2 linked regions of the Macaca fascicularis genome follow. The main gene of each other region encodes a partner of the protein of the gene in region 2 in a complex. Links are inferred from orthologs where the notes say so. Each region holds a gene or a part of one and is shown on either strand. Other genes may lie near its edges.

The links.
Region 1: the proteins of FBXL5 (region 2) and IREB2 are in contact, whole or in part, in a cryo-EM structure (PDB 6VCD), measured with the Homo sapiens proteins. The link is inferred for Macaca fascicularis from reciprocal best matches to the Homo sapiens genes FBXL5 and IREB2. Residues at the interface, in NP_036293.1 of Homo sapiens: Asp656, Glu657, Tyr661, Cys662, Asp663, Asn664, Ile665, His669, Ala670, Asp671, Thr672, Ala673, Ser674, Gly675, Cys676, Gln677, Asn678, Leu679, Gln680, Cys687, Arg688, Ser689, Gly690, Glu691; in NP_004127.2 of Homo sapiens: Asp89, Phe90, Ser129, Asn217, Val220, Glu221, Arg224, Arg228, Ala758, Gly759, Ser760, Arg763, Asn764, Thr777, Pro778, Arg779, Asn782, Ser783, Tyr784, Gly785, Ala786, Arg788.

Annotation. Positions count from the first base shown.
Region 1 is NC_088381.1:55,824,332-55,828,074, forward strand, and holds part of IREB2 (iron-responsive element-binding protein 2), read left to right. Parts: intron 1-518; coding exon 519-684; intron 685-2,857; coding exon 2,858-2,995; intron 2,996-3,743. UniProt on the Homo sapiens protein: RNA-binding protein that binds to iron-responsive elements (IRES), which are stem-loop structures found in the 5'-UTR of ferritin, and delta aminolevulinic acid synthase mRNAs, and in the 3'-UTR of transferrin receptor mRNA.
Region 2 is NC_088379.1:14,781,856-14,785,598, forward strand, and holds part of FBXL5 (F-box/LRR-repeat protein 5), read right to left. Parts: intron 3,556-3,743; coding exon 3,369-3,555; intron 1,564-3,368; coding exon 1,381-1,563; intron 1-1,380.

The DNA of each region.
Region 1 (3,743 bases), on a different chromosome or scaffold from region 2:
TTAAAGTAATTAAGAGTGAATCAAAGTGTTTGTGAAATGAATTTTACTCACTCAGGCATTCCAGTTTACTTTTAAACTTAGTCATTTTTGTTGGAAATAATTTAAATTTATTAAAGACTTTATACAATTTAATCATTTTCTTTTTGCCATACTAGGGGATGTCTACATTATTGAATTCAATTCTGATATTCTGTGCTTTTTAGTTTTTCTGTGAATTCCTTGAATGTCAAGTATTTGTCATGGTTGCAGTATGATATTCCTAAATTAATGCAACTCTTGTATGAAGGTTTTTATCTCTGCTTTTTTCAGGGCTTTGAGGTTATGTACAGGAAAGTCAGTTACAAAACACCTGATGTTAACATGAACGATGTTATACTCTAGTTTGTTAGACTAAAAATGAACTGTTTAAATTGAGAAACCTGCATTTTTGTCTTTATCTAACTTTTTGCTGTGGCATTTTAAAAATAATATATAGGTATGACTGTTTGCTTGTTAATCGTAATATTTTATTGAATCAGATGTTCTGCCTTATTCAATACGGGTCTTGTTGGAAGCTGCTGTACGAAATTGTGATGGCTTTTTAATGAAGAAGGAAGATGTTATGAACATTTTAGACTGGAAAACCAAACAAAGCAATGTTGAAGTGCCCTTTTTCCCTGCCCGTGTTCTTCTTCAAGATTTTACGTAAGTAATGGGTTTATTTTTCATAAATGAACTCTTAGAGTGTGTTTCCTTTTTAAAATTGAGACTCTTGGCTGGGTGTGGTTGTTGACACCTCCCAGCACTTTGGGAGGCCAAGGCAGCAAGATCACTTGAACCCAGGAGTTTGCGATCAGTGTGGGTAACATAGTGAGACCCTGTCTGTACAAAAAAAAAATTTAAAAATTAGCTGAATATAGTGGTGCATGCCTGTAGTCCTAGCTACTCTGGAAACTAAGGCGAAAGGATTAGTTGAGCCCAGGAGGTTGAGGCTGCAGTGAGCTGTGATCCCACCACTGCACTCTAGCCTGGGTGACAGTGAAAGACCCTGTCTCTAAAAATAGAAAAAAAATAAAAATTCAGACTCCCTGATGGATGGTTCTGTTTTTTTGTTTTGTTTTGTTTTTTTAATTTTAAGGTTAGTTTATAAACTTAAAAATTTTGCCCTTTCTAAACTGAAGCAATTCATTAAAAATTAGGCACCTGTTTTGTATACCATTTATTCAAAAACTGCTTTTGCTTAACTACCTTCTTATGATCTCTATGTAACCAATAGGTTTCTCAAACTTAACATATTGAAAACTTGATTTTCTCTGTCACCTAGGCCAGAGTGCAGTAATGCAGTCATAGTTCACTGCAGCCTCAACCTCCTGGGCTCAAGCGATCCTCCTGCCTCTGCCTCCCAAAGCTCTGGGATTACAGGCATGAGCCACTATACCCAGCCATCAAAACTTGATTTTTTGATTGTCTGTCTCAACTCACCTATTTCTTTCTAAGTCTTTTCTGTTATAGTAAATGTCACCATACGCTCCCATTTGTTTAGGCTTCAAATCTAGGAGTTAGCCTTGATTTTTCTCTCTCTTTAATACCCTCTAACCAGTCTATCAGCAAGCTCTGTCAGTGCTACCTTTGAAATATATCTTTTGTCCAATTATTTCTTTCCACCTCTATCACTGTCATTGTGGTTCTAGTCCCATTCTCTCTTAACCTGGACTATAACTGCAATAGCCTCTTAACTGGTATCCTTGCTGTCACACTTGGAATCAATAGTCTGTTCTTTACACAGAAGATGGAGTGACTTGGTTACAAATGTAAATCAAGTCATATTATCCCTCCATATACCAGCTGGCTTCCATCACACTTAAAACAAAATCCAGAGCCTTTATCATACTCTGAAAGATTTTGCCTGATCTGGGTGTCCAGGGATTATTTATTGGAAGAGTTAACCTTGAGCTGAGTTTTGAAAGAGGCATAGGGGTTAGCTAGAACATCCTCTTCACCCCACCCACTCAAATCTGGTTTGTGTGCCACAGCTCTTTGTAACCTATGTATGCTGCCATTACAGTACTTGCGATACATAGCCGCATAAGAAATAAATGGTATTTCTTACACCATTTATTCAGAAACTGCTTTTGCTTAACTACCTGCTTATGATTTCCACATAGCCAATAGGTTTCTCAAACTTAACATATTGAAAACTTGATCTTATTTTGAGATACAGTCAACACTCTGTCACCTAGGCTGGAGTGCAGTGACGTGATCATAGTTCACTACAGCATCGACCTCCTGGCCTCAAGCTGTTAATTTATGCAGCTATTATAGTACTTACGATACTATTCTGTAATCATTATCTTCCCTAAAGTTTTTTTGAGAGCCAGAACTATGTCTGACTTGGCCTTGTACCATTGGTATCTAGCACACTGAAGGCATTTGATAATACTTGTTATATATTTGGCTGGATAGGTGGGTGGATGAATGTAAAATGGCAAAAGCTACTGTGGATAGCTTTGGGGTAACATGAAGGCACTAGGCAGAAGGGGGTGGAACTAGGAAAAGGGGAGGGTGCATCAAAAAAAATACACGGCGAAAGAGAGTTTCACAGGCAGTTTCCTTGAAGTTCACTTATGCCTCCAAAAATTCTCTCTTATTATTTTTGGCACATTTGCCCAAGTAATTCAGTCCTTAGATAATGTTTAATGTTAATTCCCATTAAACCAGGATACTCCTAAATTTAGATAATAACTACATTATGAAAAATGAATGTAAACTAGACAGGGATACTTTTAAAATGTGAAAATGAAAAAGTTTATATTGATCATTTATTAAGCATGTATAAAAAACAATTTGGACTATAATTTGACCATTCTTTATTTTTTAGTGGAATACCGGCAATGGTGGATTTTGCTGCTATGAGGGAGGCAGTGAAAACTCTTGGAGGTGATCCTAAGAAAGTCCATCCTGCTTGTCCAACAGATCTTACAGTTGACCATTCTTTACAAATTGACTTCAGTAAATGGTACGTCAATACAGATATTTATAGACAGCCATGCAAGTTAACTGACTGGAAATGTGTCGTGTAGAGGAAAAGGAGTAGAGATAATTTATGGCAGAGAAAAGTATGCTAAATTTAGTATTGGCTAGTATATAAAAGCTAAAACTGGTGAAAAGTTTGGAATGGTGGGTTTTTTTGGAATTAGTCTGAGTGTAAAGTTATTTTCATATTTGTGTATTTCTGCTGACATTTTTGGTAGAAATGTATACGCCTAGGACCTGCCTTTTGGAGTGAACCTCTGAATTCAGTCTTTGTTTCCTTTTTGTTTTTTAACCTACTTGTCTTTCAGAAAGAATCGAAAGATGTGAGCCATGAATGGTTTTAATTATTTGGTGATTAAAAACATTGAACTCACTAAAGCTCTATTTTCCTTCCACTGAAATAAGTATCTTGTATTTATAAGGCCCCTTTGATTAAGACCAAACTAGAGAAGACGTATTTCTGTTGCCATAAATTAACTTTTTTAAAACATTCCCTGGAGTAGTGGAATAAGACTGTAATTTATTATAGCCCATGAGAGAGATTTTTGCCCTCGAGATAAACTGTAGCTCTAAATTTCTTTTAAGTTGTTAGGGGGAAACAATCTGTTTCAGTACTTGCTAAAAGTTATGTGAATTAGTAGAGTATATGAAAGTGATTTTACTGGACTCTTAGAATTATGTTTTCATTTCTGTAAATTTAAATGACCTGTTATATATATATACACACATAT
Region 2 (3,743 bases):
AAAATTATGTGAATTTGGAAGCTAATATTCCCCCGGACCGGATACGGTGGCTCACGTCTGCAATTACAGCACTTTGGGAGGCCGACGCAGGTGGATCACTTGAGGTCAGGAGTTTGAGACCAGCCTGATCAACATGGTGAAACTCCATCTCTACTAAAAATACGGAATTAGCCAGGTGTGGTGGTACACGCCTGTAATCCCAGCTACTTGGAAGGCTGAGATAGGAGAATCGCTTGAACCTGGGAGTCAGAGGTTGCAGTGACCCAAGATCGTGCCATTGCACTCTTGCCTGGGCAACACAAGCGAAACTCTGCCTTTAAAAAAAAAAAAAAAAAAAAAAAAAAAAAACTCACCTAGCAGAAATTGTTTAATTCAGTGACAGAAAAAATGTATGCTATATTAGTTGTATTTAACCCATAACTGCATTATATGCTGATGAAAAGAAAATTGTCTTTAACTGTTCACATGTGAAAGTAATTTACTATAATGATATTATATGAAACTGTGATTCAGAGAATGTGGCATTACCAATCAAATAAAGATAGGTCAAAGACAGAAACAGATTCACAATTATTTTGAGCCATCACCCAAATGGAGCCATAATGGTATATCACCCTTAAATTTTATAGAATTTATTCTGTATTTTTAAAATATTCATATAATTATTATTAAACATAATTACTTAAAGCAGTTTTGAAAGCATACTAATTTTTTTTTTTTTTTTTTTTTTGAGGCGGAGTCTTGCTCTGTCACCCAGGCTGGAGTGCAGTGGCGGATCTCGGCTCACTGCAAGCTCCGCCTCCCGGATTTACGCCATTCTCCTGCCTCAGCCTCCTGAGTAGCTGGCACTACAGGCGCCCGCCACCTCGCCCGGCTAGTTTTTTGTATTTTTTAGTAGAGACGGGGTTTCACTGTGTTAGCCAGGATGGTCTCGATCTCCTGACCTCGTGATCTGCCCGTCTCGGCCTCCCAAAGTGCTGGGATTACAGGCTTGAGCCACTGCGCCCGGCCGAAAGCATACTAATTTTATTTTTAACTTTTAATTCTGAAAAACAGTCAAAAGCAGAAAGAACTAGCATAATGAATCCCCATGTATCTATCACCTATCTTCAATAATTATCATTTTGTCAATCTTTTTGCATCCTCTCCCACAAATATATTTTCCTAATTTTTTTAATTGCAGACACCATTATAATTTACCCATGAATTTCAGCATTGCTAGTTTTCCAAAAATATATATACCAAAAACACATCATCTAACTATAAAATCTACTTTTTGATGAATCTCTCAGAGTTTCCCTCCCTGGCATTGCTGATTCATGTAAATAAATATTCATTTACAAAAAAACATGAAAATATTTTTAAAACCCATTTACCTACCTCTGGCCCAATGAACAGGGTACAGATGTTTCCAAAGCGATCCAGCTTTTGTCAGCTGAGACCATTTCATGCTTACTTGACTGCATCGACATAACTCTTGAGGATTAAGATAGCTGAAAATTGACAGCATTACCTCAGGAGGAAGATGGGTTATACCTGTGGATTGTTCTGACACTTCAGCTTCTGAAATAAAAAAGAAAAACTTTACCAGTAAAGGCTAAAGAGCAAATGCAATAAGAAATTACAATCACATTTCTATAAACAAAATCCAGTGCCTGAAGTCAACTCCTTCCTGCTTGCAAGATGTGAAAATGAAATAACATGTATTAGAGGTAACATGGGGATGTTAAACTTGTTAAGAACAAGTAGGGTTAAACTATCATGGCCCAAATCATACTTCATCAGTGGGAGCTACAATAATGAACACAGAATTAACTTCCTCTTACAAAGGCATCACAGAGAAAACAATACTCACTTTGTAGCATTAAGTAGCATCACTTGAAAAAGGAACCAAACAGGTTATACAGCTTTAAATCAACAAGTATAGAGTCAGCCAGATTATGAGATCTCCAAGGCATTTTTAATGACACACACAAATCTCATGACCTTTTCCATTTATGCATTATGACTCCTGTCAATAATCTTCCTTGTATTCCCTCTTTGATTTTCACATTTCATACAAGAGGTCTGCGAAATCTGACTGCCTTAACCTAGAGGTGCTTTAAACTACTTCAATTATTTATGTCGCAGGTGACACGACAAAATGCAAATATTTCTGATGTTGTTTCACGTTGATAAGGAATCTTTTGTCAGCAACTATTGCAGGAAGTACTTATGGATATATAAACCTATTATTTCAGTAATAATTTCCAAAATAAAAATGAAAATGAGGTGTTACAATAAAAAATATAAGAGATTCATCATTAAAGTCATATGAAGAATTTGAGTACTTTATATATCTGATTTGTTTCACAAAGTAACTTAAATATAGAAACGCTATGATCACATTCTTTAAACTACCACTTTTAAAATGCCAAATATTTTAAACATAATACAGCTACAATTTGCTTTGAAGGAGTGGGAAAATAAAATGTAGTAAGTGTGATGCCTTTAAATCCCATGTTATAATTACAATTAAACCAGACACAACAAGTCTTAGCTTGGTAACTAAAGCACAAGCTATATTTCAGAGTAAGGCATACAAGCTTTATGGGATTAATTATTGCTTAACTTGTAAAATTATTTGTTTCAACATGCATTTCACCTACATTGTTAAATAAAAATAAAAGGACCAATTTCAAAAAACTCCAAGCTATTTTAACAGAAATCCCATTGCTGCCGCCAATCTTGAAGAAGTGAACATAAATAATTACTGAGGAAGTAGTTTATTTTTTAAAAAATAAACTTTATTTGCCTTTCTCATCTGTATTTTCAGAGTAACAACACAGAAAAACTCTGCCTCTAGTACTTGTTCCTCTGAATATTACTGGATACAAGCTGAAAAAATGATACACAGGAAAGGATGAAAATAAATTATAAACATAACTGATTTTGAAAACCAATGAAAAAACACAAGGAAAGAGAAAAGCAGCCACTATGGTCAATAAAGCTCAGGAAGCAGGATGATACCACAAAAGTGCTCTGTGTAATGGTAGTTTTCAACAATTTTGACTGCTCAGTTTTGAGCAGGCCAGTGCTCTGTACTGGTAGTTTTCAATAATTTGGATTCACTCATATATAAATTCATTCAAGAAACACTACACTGAATACGTCCCAAGTATATGTTAAATTATCATACACAACACTGAATTCTAAAATGAGAACCATTGTCTTCAATTAAATTGATACATGAAAATAACGCCTTTAACTGACCACAGTACAGGCCTAACTTAAATTATTCCTCAACCAAAATCTACAATTCATATCAGTAAGATGTCAATGACCTTATAACTAATAAATTGTTCTTTATCTATATATATGAATCTCACCTTTATCTGACTTTTCATCCACAGAATATTTAAAATATTTCTGTCGCTCTTCAGCATGATTCCATAGGCTAAGACCTCTAAGGAGTTCTGCAGTGTCCTTCTGAGAGCAGTGTTGTGCAATCACTTTCTTTTTAATATCCTTAAGCTCTTCATAGGTAAAATATTCCATTAACATAGGCTGAAAAACCTAAATTAAACAAAATATTCATGAGGAAAGATGCTTAATTCGTGTTGTTTCACTCTACACCCTTTTAAATTATTAACAGCTCAAATGTCGTATTATGATCATATATCTCAAAAAGATAAAAATTGTAGTTGTTACCACTGAGTTAGTTTATCTAAAAATTGCAGAGAAAAGTACATCAAGAAGATCCT